Linked DNA regions of Xenopus tropicalis. Each later gene encodes a partner of the first gene's protein in a complex. Links are inferred from orthologs where the notes say so. Each region holds a gene or a part of one and is shown on either strand. Other genes may lie near its edges.

What was found.
Region 2: the proteins of eef1g (region 1) and eef1b2 are in contact, whole or in part, in a crystal structure (PDB 5DQS), measured with the Homo sapiens proteins. The link is inferred for Xenopus tropicalis from reciprocal best matches to the Homo sapiens genes EEF1G and EEF1B2. Residues at the interface, in NP_001395.1 of Homo sapiens: Leu146, Lys147, Thr148, Arg149, Thr150, Phe151, Glu155, Arg156, Pro185, Asn186, Arg189, Leu192, Thr193, Asn196, Gln197, Pro198; in NP_001032752.1 of Homo sapiens: Ala20, Asp21, Lys22, Ser23, Tyr24, Tyr28, Val29, Cys50, His51, Arg54, Asn57, His58, Ser61, Tyr62, Glu65.

The regions. Positions count from the first base shown.
Region 1 is NC_030680.2:36,803,691-36,813,201, reverse strand, and holds the start of eef1g (elongation factor 1-gamma), read left to right. Parts: upstream 1-4,106; 5' UTR 4,107-4,112; coding exon of another isoform or gene 4,113-4,124; intron 4,125-4,957; coding exon of another isoform or gene 4,958-5,116; intron 5,117-5,271; coding exon of another isoform or gene 5,272-5,335; intron 5,336-6,512; 5' UTR 6,513-6,638; intron 6,639-7,158; coding exon of another isoform or gene 7,159-7,283; coding exon 7,284-7,301; intron 7,302-8,393; coding exon 8,394-8,537; intron 8,538-8,901; coding exon 8,902-9,031; intron 9,032-9,511. UniProt on the Homo sapiens protein: Probably plays a role in anchoring the complex to other cellular components.
Region 2 is NC_030685.2:50,701,867-50,711,377, reverse strand, and holds eef1b2 (elongation factor 1-beta), read right to left. Parts: upstream 5,931-9,511; 5' UTR 5,885-5,930; coding exon 5,805-5,884; intron 5,241-5,804; coding exon 5,118-5,240; intron 3,999-5,117; coding exon 3,863-3,998; intron 3,344-3,862; coding exon 3,277-3,343; intron 2,664-3,276; coding exon 2,538-2,663; intron 2,269-2,537; coding exon 2,114-2,268; 3' UTR 2,050-2,113; downstream 1-2,049. Other genes in the region: ndufs1 (NADH-ubiquinone oxidoreductase 75 kDa subunit, mitochondrial), read left to right, coding at 9,451-9,511. UniProt on the Homo sapiens protein: Catalytic subunit of the guanine nucleotide exchange factor (GEF) (eEF1B subcomplex) of the eukaryotic elongation factor 1 complex (eEF1).

The DNA.
Region 1 (9,511 bases):
CTGCAAGGTAAGGGCTAAGAGGTATAGACAAAACTTTAGCAGTAACTATTATAGAAATGTTAATTTAATAATTTTAATTAGCTCTGTTCAATTACCCTTTACACATTCTGGAATGGGATTAGCATCACATTTTTCCACCAGGAGAAAACTAAAAGGAAGAGAGTTTGTATATTCCCATGCTTATATCCATAGCTTATTTGTTACAAACACCTGAGTGCACAATGGTTTACTCATGGGGGTTATTTATAAATACTGGGCAAATTTGCACCCAAGCAGTAACCCACTGGAAACCAATCAGATGTTTGCTTTAATTGTTCTACTTACCACTGCCTGGAAAAAAGCTAATTACTAATTGGTTGCTATGGGCTACTGCCCAGGTGCAAATTTGCGCAGTGTTTATAAATGAGCCCAACTCAGTGACTGTAAAAGAATGCACTTTGAGCTGACAAGCATCCTCAGCTTGCTAACAGAATCCGTGGGATGTTAAGAAGCCTGTACATTTGTCTCTATGTAAATAAAGCTTTATATGAAGCACGTTGGTTCCTTGAGATTTTTACATAAAGTAAATCATAAGCATAAGTTTCTAAACTGTTGTAATTCATGCAGTGAGCATGAAGGTTGTTTAATGAGCACAGAGGGAAAGACACCCCGTGGTTCCCTTTCTGCACACATCAACCTGCCTTTCTGGTCAGTTATTTTATTATGATATCTAATTGCTACTTATGGCTTGAGATCGAAGCATCATGTCAGATTATTATTTGTCTAAAGATATTGAGGAATTACAACTCCCATGAATGCCATGGTGGTGGGTTACATTTTTGAAGGGTGCTGGGGGTTGTGCTCAAAACATATATATATATATATATATATATATATATATATATATATATACATACATACATGATCTAGAGACGCTGACATTCTGAGACAGTTAGTAACTGGTCTTCATTGTTTTTTATTATTTATTTTTTAGTGGCTTTTCATTTATTTAGATTTTTGTTCATGAGCTCTCCAGATTGAAATTTCATCAGCTATCTAGTTTCTAGGGTCTTGTTTACCTTAGCAGTGCTTTAAATGAGAGACTGGAATATGACTAGAACAGGGACTAAACAGATAGCTAAGTAATAAAAGGTAACAATAATAATAAAATTGCAAGATCACAGAGCAATAGTTTGACTACTAGGGGTCAGAGATCCCTATTTGACAGCTGGAAAGATGTAAAAGTGGGAGGCAAATAATTAAAAAAAAAAAATAATGAAAACCAATTGCAACATTGCTAGGAATAGGACATTCTATAACACAGTAACATTTAACCTGAACCATGGACAGTGGCCAGAGAAAAAGAAGAGAAGCACCATCTATAGAACTGGATCAACAATAAGACAACAATGTTGAACCTGATGGACCCTGTGCCTTGATTTTAAACCTTATCTTCTTTAAAACATATACTTTATTATTTTTTAATTCTATGTTTTTGAATGATGAATATTTTTTGGTGAGAAATGAAATTGCATAAATGTGTTAAGGGGGCTCCATAAGACCATGTGCCAAACCTGAAAAAGCTATAATGCTTGCCACCCATAATGTCTCTTTCCCAGACGATAATTACTGCAATTATAATACCTACCATGATACATACACATAACCGCCACACCCAGTTAATTGCTCCCATTTCACCTTGACTAAGAGCAGCATTTGATCCAGTATCATGCTTTTAATATCTGGGAAGAAAGGTTAAGTTTTCATTGCACACTGGGTGCCATATATTTTCTGTATGGTGCCATAGCTGAGCCAATTTGCCATCAAAGGGAAGGGTGGCAGTCTTTGAGAGCTTCATCGCCATTATCTGCCCCATTACCTGCTGGCTGCAGGGTTTTTATTTCAAATGGCATTTGTTCTTTGCTTCAGAGGGATGGCTTTATTCTTGTGTTTCACTGTACACGGAAGGAAGGAAGTAACAGACCCAGCTAGACTGCACTGGCACTCCGATTGCAGATGAAATGCTGCATGTTGCCTCTCTTCTGCATTCTGGGCTGAGCCCTTAAAAGTGATTACTCATCACTACAGAGCACAACTGATCCCTACAGTGACTCTGCAGCTTGCTGATTTCCAACTAATTTACTGCATAATGCTTCCTTACTGGAAGTCTGCATACCCCCCCATGAGAACAACCTATTGGCCTAGGGACCATTAAGACAAGCTTGATTTGGTCACTTTATCATATATGCTGATTTGCCTCTGTATGCTCAGCATTAGATGTTATAAGATGTAAGCGGTCACTAAGGCATTCAATGACCATATCAATTAGGGGTACATTATGCGGTATAAGCAGGGCTGCCATCAGGGATAACAAACAGTACTAGTGTCTCAGGCTCCATCAAATCAGAGGGCCCCCGACTGCACCATTTACTGCTAATGGCATTGCTATTTTAAAATAAATATTTTAGAGGTTAGTATTGTGTACAGTAATGTGGTATTTTGTATTTTATACAGTGTAAATGGCACTAAATCATTTATGATTCCTTGACCCTGGTGTGCTTGCAGTCTAATTTCTTCCTCTCCTATTAAGAAAATAGGGTTAATTCTATAAGGAGGGAGAGGGGGTACTGTTGTACCGGGCCCAGTAAAATCTCCAGAAGGGGGGGCTGGCCTCATCACAAAAGTTGCTTTAGAACTTACATAATTTACATGTCTTCCACAAAAACTGGCTAGAAACAGGGTAATGCCACACGGGGCTGATTTTTAAGTGGATGGTCTGATTCTCAGAAACTGTTTTTCTGCTTTCCAAGAATCGGCCCCTCTGCTCCAAGCAGTTTCAGGCAGAAATATCATGCGTGTGCCTGCACCCAGGCGGATTCAGTGCTTCCGGGTGCAGGCACAACTGAAAGATTTTTAGATTCAAGAATCAGCTGTATGGAAATACCCTAACCTAACTTGCATATCCCAATATGACCCCCCCAATAGATCAAAAAAGTCAAGGTAAATGTTACTGTCCCCAGTGAATTGACTCATTATTACATTACTACTCATATTACATTAGCACATTAATTACTCATTTTAACTATTTATTAAAGAGTAATGTCGGCTGTTTATATTGAAAACTATTAACAGATGGATTTGTGCACTCCTGCATGAACTTTACAGCAGAGGAATGACTGGTTATTGGGCCCCACAGCAACATCATTGGGCCACTACACTTATGCAATTTATGTAACTTTTGCAAAAACTTAAGTTACTTTAAAAGAAAGTACAATTCTTACAATTAGCCTACAGCTAAGATTAATATAAAACTACAATACCCAGCATGCAATTATAGACAGAAGCTCCCTTTTCTATTCCTCTTTGCTGAACCTGAACCAGCAAAACTACTATAACCTGCATGGACTGGGCACAGGGGGCTGGGAAACATCAGCCATCCCAGTAACTGGAGAGAGGGCACAGGGCATGGGTAGTAATTATACACTACAAAAAAAGCATTTTCCCATATATACTTTTATTTTTTAGAATTTGTTTTCATTTTGTATATTGGGCTATTTTTGGGCTACTTTCGAAGTGGCTTTTGGCTAGTTTTGGGCTGGTTTGGAAAAATAAATCTGGCAACACTGGTTTTGTTCTATGTTTTGCTCAGAACCCAATTAAGTGTCTAATAAACCTTACTTTTCTACCCCAAATGACCTTTGACAGGTCATTTTAACAGACTTTTCAATAACACCTATAATACATATTTCAGGCAGCCACATATGTTAGTTCTATCTATGGTCCTGACTAAATGTATTATCCCTTAGCAGCTGGCTCCTACATTGCAAGGAAATCCCTCTATGCTGTTCTGGAAGGTTCTGCCAGGGAAGTGAATCCCTCTCACTCTCAGCTTATTAAACTCACTATCACAGCTTAACTCCATAGAATCCTTTTTTTGGGGTAGGGTTTTCTGACAGAAACCCTTTGTATCTCCCATACTGCCACATATCACCTGCCTGTACGTCCCGAAAGCGTCACGTTACGCTCCCGTCGCTTACACTCCTCTATTTTACGACAGCCCGTAGTCTGTTTTCGGCACCTATATTACGTCGGAGAGCTGGAACTGCGGCTCCTCCCTTTCTACTCGCGTGAAGATGGCCGGCGGGGTAAGTAATGAATAGGTCCCAGAAAATCCATCCACATCCGACAGCTTATGATATATCCGGGCCGTAGTGTGGGTCACTGGGATATGGGGTGCGCTCTGCTATCCGGGTCACCTTTCATCTCCCGGTTTGGTGCTGGTAGTATGGGGTAAAGTTAGTGGGAATAGTGCCCGGCTTTACCCGGAACTAAGGGGAGCGGTACAAAGAGAGGGCAATACGGCGCTGCCCCGGTAACTGCCCCTAGTCACGTGTCCCTGCCTGCTCCTTCCACACGCGTTTCTCTCCCGCTCTGTGCGCCATTTGTACGGCTGTAATACCGGCTGCTGTGTGACAGCGGCTCTATACAGTGACATGTGACAGATGCACAGTATTCTCTATAGAGAACTTCCAACGCATGGGAAGGCTTTTGAGCTGCCATGCAGTGTTGTAGCTAATACATGTTAGTAGTGTGGCGTAAAGTGGTGAGGTGGCAACCCTGGTTTTATTTGCTGCTGCCATAAGAGTATAAAGACAAGAAGTAGCTGCTTGAGTTAAAGATTTTAGGCTTACATTCTGTTGTCTGCCAAGGCTTAGCTTTACCCAGTAGGAGACTTCACATAAGAATAGTGATATGGCATGTAGTAAGATATGTGCTGCTTTCCAGGGCCTTGGGTGTACATTAGAATGTGTTAGATATATAAAGGAAAATGTTTCCTTCAGCAACCCTAAATATGGTACATGGAATTGTATATGGTGCCTGGTGGTGCAAAGTCCCATATGATTGGGGATAATCATTTTGTACAATATTTGCTTGCCTCAGTGTGTATAATGTATAACTGTGTGTATTCTCTCTGCAGACTCTGTACACATACCCTGATAACTGGAGGGCATACAAGCCCCTCATTGCTGCTCAGTATTCGGGGTTCCCCATCAAGGTTGCCTCCTCTCCTCCAGAATTCCAGTTTGGAGTAACGAATAAGACATCCGAGTTCCTAAAGAAATTCCCCTTAGGCAAGGTAATGCATTTGCTTCCATAGTCCCTCAACTTCAACCCCTCCAGATAATCTGCAATGTGTGTACAGTATGTATATATTCATACTGTAGCCCTGGATGTAATGAACTTTTTAAGGTAATATTATTGTCCTTAATCAAACTCTTTCTGGACTTTTAGGTACCAGCATTTGAGGGCAACGACGGTTTTTGCCTTTTTGAGAGCAGCGCCATTGCTCATTATGGTGAGACAATCATTTTATCTCTTGTTATCATTTTATCTTCAGCAGGTTAGCCTTTATAGAATCAGACCTAGCAATTACTCTCTGGCCCTTAGGGAAAGAACCCACCTGTGATAGTAACTGCTCCGAAAAGGCTTTCCATCGGCAACAGTAGAAGTCATGGGTGAAAAGGCCTTCGGTTTCCAAAGTTGCGTGAAGTTGCCTGCAGGAGAAAAGCCTTTTCAGAGCGTTTACTCGCCCATGATAGCAGCGGTCTGTTGTGGGTGAGTAACTCGCTATGTGGGTTCTTACCCTAAGAAGCTAATTTGGAGGTTGTTGCTGTAACTAGTATACAGCAGACCCCACAGCCACAGGGGAGGTATAATGGTCTCAAGGTCTGCTGCTGGGCCAGACTGGGATTCAAAATAGGCCTCAACATTTCAAGTACACAGAGGCCAAACCCCCAGCCCAGTGGCATCTTACAGCAGCCCCTTTCGCATTTTACAGAATATACAGATTGCCAGTCCAGGCTTGGTCTGCTGTATGGTTCTCCCTCCTTATTTCCAATGTTTGCTCTTCTGCTCTCTGCAAATAAATGAATGGGGAAAGGGGTACAGAGGAGGAGGGAGTGCATGCATTTAAAATTGCAACTGGGCCCAGGTGCTGCTTAGTTATGTCACTGTTTGGATGGTCCTAAAATAACCCAAAAATTGTGCACCTACCATTTCTGCTCTCGTTCTGGCCATTTTCTCTTCTTAAAAATCTATTTATTTAGATCAATCCATGGAATCCCCAGCCCAGGCCCAGGTTCAGTCACATATCCTGCCTGCTGGCCTCCTGGTGGGAAACTGCCCAGAAATAGTGATTTTACATAAAAACATTTCAGTAAAGATGTTTCCACATATTTCGGACAAATACAGATTTTCTGTACTCGCCAATATCGATCAACCCTGCTGGCATGTCCCATTATAGGTTGAGAACCTTGGGAAGTGTTCTATCTTTGGAGATGGCCACTTATAGTTCTGCTGCTTGCACTCCCTACACTAAGGTGGAATTATAAACATAAGCAGTATTCCTGTGAAAGGTTATTAAAAAAAAAAAAAACTTATGGATAGCTGGCCATTCAAACAGCAGCTGCAAAGCTGAAATCATAAAATAGCAACCTGGCAAATTATACCTTAATCTCTTCATATTTTTATAGGCATTCCTTGTGGCGGAATGCATAGAATTGCACTACAAGACAAATGCTGACTTGGAGTCTCAGATTTAAATTGGAGAGCATGTGAGCTCTGAGATGAGCTGTGAATCTTTATCATTCTACATCAAGGTTATCCATTTCTTTTTGTCCCTCTTTCTGTGTGTCTCGGGCTCCTGCAGACTGGGTATAATGAAAGTCCACTCTTAGGGTGAAGACACACTGGGCTACTAGTAGCAGCTACTTTTTTTTTATGACTACTAAACTCCAGAAAATACCCTGCCATAGACAATACTGAGAATTGCCTCTGCTAAAACACATGTAGAGGCAATTATCTGTAAATGATCAGCATTCTCTTTTTTAGTAGTCACGGCAAGTAGCTGCTACTAGTAGCTCTGTGTGTTCTCACCCTAAAGCTGGCCATACATGCACCGATAATATCGTATGAAACCTCGTTGAAATCCTATTGTTTCTTCCTCCACATCTGCCATTTCACCCCTGAATGTTAGTGGCGGATTGGAACGATCGCACAAAAGATCAAAAATCGCCACGTGTGTGGCCACCTTTAGACTTGTCACATATGTCTCATACTTTCTCTGACTTGGTGTTAATAGGAAACCTAATTCTCACCTCTCACATATTTCTCTGACAGTGGGCAATGATGAGCTCCGAGGAACCAATCGTTTACACCAAGCTCAGGTCATCCAGTGGGTCAGCTTCTCAGACAGTCACATTGTCCCTCCGGCCAGCGCATGGGTCTTTCCCACTCTGGGGATCATGCAATACAATAAGCAGGTAAGAAGGGTTCATTATTCTGCTTTATTTTCTTTGGTTAACTACACACTGCTGCGTGCTTATCTGCTAAATTATTTATTCATCTAACAATGGCCTTTCCTTTTCTACTTTGTGCTGCGTCGAGATGAATTATGAAATACTTTGCTTTACAAATACTTCAAGCACCCATAATGTTTGGGGTCAGTAGGACCCTTTAGGGTGACCAGATTGCTTGAAAATTCAGGGACGTGTAATGAAGAGAAAAAATAAATCCAGCTAGCAGGGCTGAACTGATTTGAAATACAATTCCTGCGACATGTACTAGATGTGTCCTTGAATTTTCAAGTGATTGGGTCACCCTACTTTTTGCCGCAGCCATAGCTTTAGATGAAGTAAACACGAGGCAGTTGTCAGAGATGGATGAACTGCCTGATCCAAGATCGATATGGGTTTAACAAGATTTAACTGTTTTAAATTGAAAGATTACCTTAAAAAGTGTGTGTATATCTCTGCCCCACCCTTATTTAGTGAATGTTATGGTTATATGTATCTTTCGGTTTATTGAATGGTGTGAAGTGATCTGTGCAGTTAGCTGGAAAATAGCAGCTTGCTTAAGGGCTGTGACACACGGGTAGATAAGTCACGGGTGACAAAACTCCCCAAAATGCCATCCCACCGGCTAGAATGTAAATCGTCGGTGGGATGGCATATGCGGCGGTGTGATTTGCGGAAGTTGCCAGAGTTTCCTCTCAAGGCGACTTCTGCGAATCACGCTTGATGCTTATGCCATCCCACCGGCGATTTACATTCTAGCCGGTGGGATGGCATTTTGGGGAGGTTTTCTGTGCAGCGACTAATCTCTCTGTGTCACAACCCTAACTAATTCCCCCTGGTTGGCATAATGGCGGATTCTAGTCTTCCTGGCTACTTTTTAGTACACGACTGTTTGTTATCTCAACAACCCTCTTGGATAGGGTTTTTTTTGTTAGAAGGTAGTAAGCCTCAGAAGCAAAAATAATTGAAGATTGAAGAAAATAATAGACCATTTTACCTCAATTTCTGTCCTTTTAAAACTGGCCATTTGGGATTATGGCTCTTTCTGTATATTTCTAGGCCACAGAACAAGCCAAGGAGGAGATAAAGGCTGTGCTGGGTGTTTTAGATTCTCATCTGAAGACACGGACATTCCTAGTGGGCGAGAGGGTCACGCTGGCTGATATAGCAGTTACTTGCTCTCTTCTGTGGCTCTATAAGCAGGTCTGACACTTTAATTTTTATCTGTTTCTCCTTTGTCTTTTATTCCTCCTAACTGTATTCCTGTTGTGAATTTGTAGCCTCCTTTAGCCATATACTTCACTATATTACTGTTTATAATAAAGATCCATTATACCTGTTCTGGTATACCAGTTCTTCATCATTTATTGGATTTCCCACACTCAGAATACATAAACACTGAAGTTTTTTTTTTTTTAATTTTTTTTCTATTCTAACTTTCTGTATAATAATCCTCGCCATTTACCCCATTTCATGTATCTACATCCCCATATTTTCACACTCATTTCTGTCAGCCTTTGTAGCACTTCTTTTTAGTGTCCATATATTAATTTCTATTTATCCATAGGTCCTGGAACCATCCTTCCGCCAGCCATTTGGTAATGTTACAAGGTGGTTTGTGACCTGTGTGAATCAGCCAGAATTCCGTGCTGTGTTGGGAGAAGTCAAGCTTTGTGACAAGATGGCACAGTTTGATGGTGAGCCTGAACATCCTATAAAATTCTCTTTTCTATCCCATTACCCTATTACCCTGTGCCTACACAGCAGCTTTGTTTCTGAAACACTGGTATAGTTTATATAAACAAACACACAACTTTTACCTGTGCAGAACAGTGTTTTTGAATTACTTTAAGAAATAATTTTTTTGGTGTTACTGGTCCTGCAAGGCAGGTTTGGTCTGTTTTGCGCTAAATCATTCTTGTACTGAGTAGCTCTTATGGTCAGCAAAACCGATTAATTTGATTTAGAGCTCAACTATAAACAAATTGTCTGGGCTGTATATAGGGCCAGGGTCTTTGTATTTATGAATACTTCCAGGATTGGAATGAACAGTATTCTGTATAAAGCATCATCTTCAGAATGTCATTTTTATAAACAAAATGTAGCGCAGTCTGTAACGGGGCTAAATATATACAAGCCATTTTTACAGGTGGTGGTCTACTTTTGATAGGGATGTT
Region 2 (9,511 bases), on another chromosome or scaffold:
CTAAATATGAATGCCATGCCTATTGAATAGTGTGATGCCCAATATGCAGAGATTTACCAAACTATGCAGTGTACAAAGGTACCCAATGAAAATAGTGCATATGTATTTTCACGTCTCACACTCTGAAATATAAGCACCCAATATGTATATTATGTACCATAACAGTACAGAAACCCTGGAAAACCATATTTTCCCCAAATGTACATATGAGTAAATAAATATGTCTCTCTATGGAAAACTACCACACAACAAAAGTTTTGCTAAATGTAGTGGTTTTTTTTTTATGAAATTTAATGCCAACATCCTAAATATGTACACCAGGGGTCTACTGAACAGTTTGATGCTCAATATGCAGAGATTTACCAAACTATGTGGGATACAGGTGCACCCAAATGAAAATAGTGTATATGAATTTTCACATCTAGCTGCTGCAATATAAGCACCCAGTATATGTATTACGTACCATTAGCCCCTCTAACAGTACAAAGACCCTAGAAAACCATATTTTCAAAAAGTATACATACTGACAAAACCAAAATGGGCATATATGTCTTTCTACTACAAACTACAATGTTTTGCTAACCATAGCGGTTTTTATGAAATGTCTAACAGCTGTTACAAAGCTTGCTTTTTAACTAATTATATAGCCCACATCACATAACGTACCAACAAAAAAGTCCTAAATATAAACACCAGGGATCTGCTGAACAATTTATGCATACATCTACCAAGCTATGTGACATACAGAGACCAAATACAAATAGTGCATATCAATTTTCATGTCTGACATTCTGGCTGCTGCCATAAAAGCACCTGGTATGAGTATTATGTGCCATAAGACCCCCTAACGGTATGGAGACCCTAGAAAACCATATATTTTCTGATAGTACACATTCTGATAAAACCAAAATGGTTAAATACTTCTTTCTACTACAAACTACCAAACAGCAAAACTATGCTAAATGCAGCAGTTTTCATAAAATTCCTGAAAATCACAAAGCTTGCATTTTACCCTATTATATGCCCCACAAGTTGTAACCTACCAACATCAAACATTCTAAATATGAACACCATATGAACTACTTACAGTTTGATGCCAATATGCATATATGTTCTTATGTTTGGCATGCAGAGGCACCCAAAATAGATAAATAACAGACAAAATTTCCAAGGGCACAAACAAGTACCAAAGAACAATGGAGAATGCAAAAAAATAATTAAAATCAGTAGTTTGAATATTTTAGCTTAGCCAAATAAATTTTACAGACAGAAACAAACCAACATCTTTGCAGAATTGAAAATTGAATAAAATGGCTAAAAATGTGCCAAAAATGTAATATAATCACTGAGACAACATAGGGATGTAAATGTTACAGGGCAACCCTTTTGAAATAAACAATAACAAAAGTGGTATAAAAGGTGATACCTTTATTGGCTAAGACAGTGCTGTCCAACTGGTGGCTCCCAACCCCCTCCTGTCTGGCTGTAACCTGGGTTAGAAGGCTACAAGATCCAGCAGTGTCTGCCTGTCCTATTCTCTGCCCTGGTGGCTCTGGCACCTGAAACAGTGTAACACAAGCAGATTTTACAGACCTGCCTTGTTTGAGGGGTCTGGCAACATTGTTTAAGTAGTAACAACCAGGAGTTCAGCAAATGCTGCTTTCTATAGCAATTTGATTTACAGATTAACTATTAAAAGCACTAATTTAATAAATGCATATTGGAAAGTTGCTTAGAACAAGGTTTTTTTTTTTGGTAAAAATGTTTGGGGTTGACATGCCCTTAAATAAAAACTAAGTTTCCACATGCATACCACAAGTCAAAAACTTGTTACAATTAGCCAAGAGTGCTTTTGTGGACTTCAGAGCAACAATGGACACCAAGTTATGACCCATTAGAGATCATCTTCTACATCCAGACAACCATCCACAGTGGATTGAAACACATTGATGCCTATTTGGCATACTTTAATCCTACAGAGGCAAGATAGATTGAATGCGTGCAACTTTGTTGCAAGGAAAGCAGCCACAATACAAAGTGAACACCAACTTCACATTAAGCAAATGTTTTTATTTGAAGTGCTGTAAAAGTATGGGGGCTTCATGAAATCAGTTTAGATCTTGTTGAAAGCAGCAACATCCATGGATTGCACAAAGTCTTCAAATGCAGTGATGTTCTCCTCTAAAACATCTGTGCCAACTTTGTCATCTTCAACCACACACTGGATCTGCAGCTTTTTAATGCCATATCCAACAGGAACAAGCTTTGCTGCAGAAGGAATAGAACAATTGAGATAACAGATGACGGTTGATAAAGCCATTAAATGTGCATTTTAAATCAAGTCTACTTGCTACATATTGTCAGAATGTAAAGACTTGTACATTCAGTAAACACATACCTTTACAGTGTTTAAATAAAAGGCAGTCAGAATAAAAATACATCCATCATTAGCATCAGTCGAAAGATGGTGATATTTTAATCATCATTACAGTTAAGGTGAAGATATTCTTTAGACTACCTACAAAATATAAACTTACATGCTCCCCACACCAAGCCTTCCATCTGTATACTTCTGACACACTCTTCTAGCTTGGCCATATCCGTTTCATCATCCCATGGCTTCACATCAAGAAGAATGGATGATTTGGCAATAAGTGCTGGTTCTAAAGAAACAAATTGGTTAAGATTTAATCACCTTTGGAGAATTTGAAGATTGTGAAGAAGTGTAAATTAGATTATGTCCGCAAGTAAAGGACTAGTAATATATAAACTGAATACACATTCTAACAGCCTTAAGCCACACATTCAGACTACCCCAAAATCCCACAAAATAAAAGCACAAGTAAAATTCTAGTGGGAAAGTCAAGTGTTACACCTTTCTAAGTCACAAACCATAGCCACTGCCTTGCTGAACATACTATAACAATACTATATGGCATTTTTTACACTAAGGTTTACACCATATAGTTTGTAGACAGTGGTACAGAATAAAACAGAACCATGTTTGAAATACAGCCAAGTCCTCCCAGACTGAGAGGAAATAAAGCTGCAAAACATTTTAATGTGCCACAGGAGGAATGCTGGAACTGCCACATAGTAATACAGCTCCAGACCAGTATCTGTGGCAAGTATTTCCATTCCACAAAAAAAAAAAAAAAAAAAGGAACTGAAGACCAGTATGTAAACAGGTAGTGATTGCACTTTGCTTTTCTTAAGGCAAAACAATTAAAAACATATGCCTTAAGGAGAATAAACACTCGGGAGAAGGCCACTTACTTTTAGACTTCTTTGCTTCATACTGTGCTAAGCGTTCTTCGCGGACCCTCTTTGATTCTTCATTTTCCTATGAAATAGAAAAACTTAAGATTCTGCACAATAGCAAGTTTTTTTTTTGTTTTTTTAAGTTAACAGGCTGGTGTAGTCAGTTTAGAAGACAATATGCATCACAAATCAGCCGAAAGATGGTGATTTAGCTCATTCATCACATGACCAGCCTGAATATAGTACAGCCAAATTTGTGTTTTACACAACTCCCTTCACATGTTTAGAACCTTAGTAACCAACAGCAAACACTGCTTCAGGTATGTGGCCATAGTAGTGTGCCTTGGGCATGTAATATAATGAATTTGTGGTTACAGTGGAGCACAATTAAAGCATGCACGCATTTTTGCTACGTTCATTGTCCACAAGGAGACTACATGAAACACAGCAAACTCTCTTTACATTTCAGTCTGTAGAACAGCATGTTAAAAAAAAAAAAAAAAAAATTATGGACACAGCTGTACAGCCAGTGTAATTTATTCTGCACCTTATGCTTCTTAGGTCTAATTTTATTACATCTAAAGATTGTTACACATCCCACCTCTTCATCATCTGAACCAAACAAGTCAATGTCATCATCATCATCCTCTTCCTTGGTATCTTTTGCTGTACTGCCTGTAGTATCTTCTATGTTAACAGGGCCATAGTTTCCCAGAGGCTTCTTCACACCAGGCAGGCTAGGAAAAAAAAAAAAAAAAAAAAAAAAAAAAAACTACTTTACAAAGGAGAAATATACTTCTAGGCTATTTGCATTAGCAGCTGCTTAGAGGTGAGTCACAAGGAATATACAGTTATCTAGAATTACATACAACTTTAGAGAACAAATTACAATAGAGAACAAATTACAATACTGACATCTTAACTGCAAATGACTGCAAGCTGGCCCAAATATGGGTAGCCACGCTACTATTTGACGAGGCTCCTCTGCATGTCTGACTGGGCATTCTGTGTGCTCAGCTAGCATCAATTAAGCCAAGAGAATGCAATTCTGTCCTACTGTCAAAGAGAACACTTCAGGTTAACATTTAGTATGTTATAGAACAGCCTATTCTTAGCAACTTTTCAGTTGGTTTTCATTTTTATGGTGTATAGTTTTTTTGCCTTTTTTCTTCAGACTCTTTCCAGATTTCAAATGAGGGGGGGTGGTCACTGACCTCAGAATCCAAAAATCTGTTGCTCTGTGAAGCTGTTTTTTTTTGTACTTATCTTTCTATTTAGGGCCTCCTATATTGAATTTTCCATCTTTCAAACTACTGGCTAGTTGCCTAGGTTAAATTGGACCCTAGCAACCAGATATGTGAAACTGGACAGCGGTTTAACAAAAAAACAATCATTCAAACACCAAAATAAAAAAAAAAAAAAAGTTGTCTCAAAATTGTACAGTATACTAAAATTTAACATAAGGGTGAACAACTCCTTTAAAATACTTCATAGACCACAAAAATGATACACATTCATGATCCATGTTAATTAGAATTGTGCCCATTTACATTCTACAGCAGGCCAACAGTACTATCAAAGCTTATGTATGTTGCAGCCACTTTCTGGCTGCATGAGCACTACAGCCATAGGCAGTGATTTTTCAGCTGGATGTTAACCAATAAACCGAATTAAAAAAAAAAAAAATCTGATTCAGATTAGATAAGTATAGTAGTGAACGTGCTTCAAAGTGCTGTAGAACAGCTCAACCTAAAACAAAGAATATTGTATTCAGCACAGTATCATATTTTTTCAACCATGCTCCTTTATCAATCACTGCTGTGAAAGCAATAGCTATACTTTATCATACTGCTTACCTACTTTTCTGCTTTTCATAAGACTTGATGTGGTTGTACCAACGCAGAGCATGGAAAAGGTCAGCAGGGGGCGCACCAGAGAGGGCATCAAATACTGCAACATCAGCCTGGGAAGGGACATATCTGAAAAGGGTGGGGGTAAATATACAATTAGCAGCATAACCACTAAACATAATATAGTACAGTAGAAAAAACTGTATAAATAGTGTCCAAACATTTGTTTCCTATAAACATTATCCAAGTTTTAAGGCTATTTGCACATTTAGTTACACTGAACAGTTTATATAATTTTCCGTTCTCTGACATAGTGCAGTTTAAGCAGCTGGCTTCTGCTACATCGGCTCAGCAGTCGTAGCCAGCAGTGCCGAAAGTGTAGAAATCCAGACCTATTCTGCTTTTAATACAAATTACATTTACAAATGATTCCAAGAAACACTTAATTATTAACATTAGAAAGAATACATAACTAAAGCACAAGGCACAATTAACCAGGCAGCCTTTACATATTACATCACTTGGGATTTTGTGACACGTTTACGGCACTGCAGCTAAAAGAATTCAGGAGTCAGGCAGCAGGAGGTTGCGGCCTAGGACCACGCGTTGGAAGCCAACACGTTCATTCATATTACACATTCCTTGTCCTTTCGAACATTAGCACAACTATAATATAGCATTTACCACACTGACCCCTCGATGTAGCTCTTGTCGGCCAGGAACTCATTCAGGACCTTAAGGCCTGCAGGGGATTTGAGATCGCCGAAACCCATTACAGCAATTCACTCAAGAAGCCTAGCACACACGGGTAAAGAAAAGAACTTGCAGGCCGGGTAGATGCCTTTTATAGACAGGGGGCGGGGCTACGAGGGGCGGGCTAAGCCTTCCTTAAAGACTCACTATGTAACATGTACATCATTTCAAGTTTATATTTTTTTTTATCCGCACCCTTTCGGCAAAGTATTACTTACTGGAGACCATATCTTCGTTTTCCGACTGCAGAAATATTTGGGATTGCATGTGTTGCCGCTTATCACGGAGATAGCCGATGTTAAGTCGATCCGGAAACTGCCTGTGCCGAAGACTAACGATGTTGCGTTCGCAACATTTCGGAAACGAAGTTTCTCCGAGTCTCGTTCGTCATTTTTGCCGGACTTTGTCGATCTCTAGTCTTTGCCTGTGCGGAAGTTACCGAAGCTTTCTCAGTTACGTATAATTCTTACCATCTTCCGTGGCTTGTTCCGGAGGTTGCTTAAATCCGCCATATTGGTCAAGGGTGCCGGCCAGGGCTGTTCTGGTCTAGAAGGCCAAATATTCCCAGAGCTGTTTAGGGGAGTCGGTGGGGTGAGTGGTTTGGAAATGGCAATTCTTTGTAATGTTTTGCATAACCGATGCGGTAACCCTGCGTTACGGTGTAATGGTGTTGGCTGTGTGTCTAGCAAGGTAGTAGGTCACTCTTGTGCCCTTGACAGATGTAGTTTAGTTCGGTAGGACTTGGACTCTTCTATTATTCGCTAAAGATTTCCAGACTCCATCCCTTCCTATACTAGCAAACCCGCGGGCTACAGCGTTCCATAGTCTGTGCATGGGTGCGCGTCTTTACTCAGAGCTCTGCTGGGATTCAGTAATGCGCTTCTCTCCTTGCACATCCTCTAACCTCTTAGTTATTGCACATTGCGCGAAAATTACACATGCAATTGGTTGCGCTGGTTAAGTCGTTACTCAGCAAATAGGGAATATTGTAATATTGATTAAAATTAGTTTTTATGACCTGGCTTGTGGCTCAATGGCTATGGCAGATTTTTTTTTTTTTTTTTTTGTGGGGTGGGATAAAGTATAATACAGGTATGGGACCTGTTATCCAGAATGCTTGGAACCTGGGGTTTTCCCGATAAGGGATCTGTCTGGAATTTGGAACACCATACCTTGAAGGGCACCCTGTCACCCTGAAAAATGTTTCCCCAAGGACAGTTGCAAGCTAATAGAGCCAGCATTCTGTTTGGGAAAAACAATTTTTTGGTGTGTGTCAGCCGCACTAGCCCACACACACTGGGAGAGAGCTTTTGGTGAAGGCTGTCATGTTCTATAGCAGGCATCCCCAACCTTTTATACCCATGAGTCACATTCAAATGGAAAAAGTGTTGGGGAGCAACACAAGTATGGAAAAAGTTCCTGGGGGTGCAAACAAGAGCTATAATTGGCTGTTTGGTTGCACCCTATATGGATTGGCAGCCTATAGAAGGCTCTGTTTGGCTTTACACTGGGTTTTATGCAACCAAAACCTACCTCCAAGCCAGAAATGCAAAAATAAGCTCTTACTTTGAGGACCCTGGGAGCAACATGTTTCTTATGAACCACTGGTTGGGATCACTGTTCTATAGCGTGCATAAAAAGCCAGTCTCCTCACATGCTCATTATCATCTGACATTAATTGCGAATTGCAATTTATGTCACATACCTGTGCATAATGAGCGAGATGTTGCTCTCGCTCATCCTTTTGCATGTGCCCCAACATAGCCACCCACACCAAAAGCTTCCTACTGGTGCAGGCAGCCTAGTGCTGGTGGGGGCTATTTATTATTATTTTTTTTTAAACTATTGTTTCCCCCAACTGGAGTGCAGGCTCCATTAGCCTGCACCACTGGTGGGGGAAACAATTTCAGGGTGACAGGTGTATCTGTAAATATAGCTCTCATACAACAAAATCCTGTATTGAAACCCAGTTTTCAAAAGAGCAAACATATATTTTTTTTTCATATTTAATTTAAATATGATGTGGGCTAGACATCTTCTTAGTTTCCCAGGTGCCCACAACCATGTGACTTGTTCTCTGATAGACTTCAGTCACTCTTTATAGTGGCAGTGCAAGTTGGAGTGGTCACCCCATACCTATCCCTTACAGCAGCATAAAAGCAAAATAATGGGAAGGTAACAAGATAACAGCTCCCTGACACCTGGTAGATATGAGCGTAGCACTTAATAGTTTAAAACTGAAGTCCTGAGTAGGAGAAAAAAATCGCTAATCTAAAAGCAGTTGCATTCTGAAGTGCTGGCACTTTCTAAAAGCACAGGATCTAGCACAATGCTCTGAAATGACTGCCTACACGTCAATATTGAAACTTAAAAAAATACACCAAATATTATTTATTGTTTAAGAATAACATTTTAAATCGTAGATTCCTTTTCAATGTACCAATTTACGCAGTGTCATTTAGAAATAAAAAGTACACCATAAAAATCTAGTTTTGGAGAGGCTGTCAACCCACACATTACTAGCAGTAACCTGTAGCAGTCAATAAGATGTTTGACCTGTACATGCCTCCGTATTGCTTAAAGGAGGACTATACCCCCAGGCACAAAAAGCACCCATAACTATCACTGCCTAGACCCCCCTCACTTCTTCCTTATTGTTTAATGTCTGTCCCTATCTCTAACCGCTAACTAAAAATGCAGAGAAGCGCAGCCACATACATCGCCGACATCTTATTTCCAACTGAAGACACTTCTGGTCGCTCTGCCGATATAAACCTGCTTGTGCATGCGCAGTTGGAGGTAGGAAATCCGCTTCAACTGCACGTGCACAAGCAGGTTAGGTGACGGCGGTGAGACCAGAAGTGTCTTTAGTCAGTAAGAAAATGTCGGACAGGTAGGGGGCTGCGCTCCTCTGGATTATTAGCTAGCTATAAGAGATAGGGACAGTCATTAAACTTAAAAACAATACAATAAGGGAGAGGTGAGGGGGGTCTAGATAGTGATAGTTATGGGTGCTTTTTGAGCCCGGGAGTATACTTCTCCTTTAAGATAGGTGATTAGACCTATAATAAACTAATTGCACCCTTTATAACATAACTCAAAGAGTCTGAATAATAGAATAATAGAACATTTTAACTAGCAATGCATTCACAGAGGATTCTATATTCTACCCCCCCCCCCCCCCCCCCCCCCCATTAATAACCATGGTATCAGGCATCGTTTTTACAGGCTGGGGTGGTAACATTTGTCAGGGGTCTAAACTATTCCGTGCACAGCTTTTGGCCCTTACTTACATTCAAGGACAATCTGTTTGTTATACAAATGCTATTTTTATAAGATGTTCTCACAATAAAAAGGTTAAGCAATCTGGTTCAGGAACTACCACAAGCATTTATTAAGGATTGAATTGGTTATTTAACCTTTTATTCTATGAAAGAAAAAATAATGCATTTGGTGGCTTCTCCTATTTAATAAGTTAAAAATGCATACTTTTTCGCAAATATTATGTGTTGAATTATTGCATTTTCTAATCTTCAGACAGCCTCAAAATGTGCCAGGCTAACCTTTTCTTTTGATTTGTAGCAAAATGCTGAGGCCTGTAGTTCGCAGGGTACTGGCAAGTGCCACCCAAAACTCTAAGAATAATG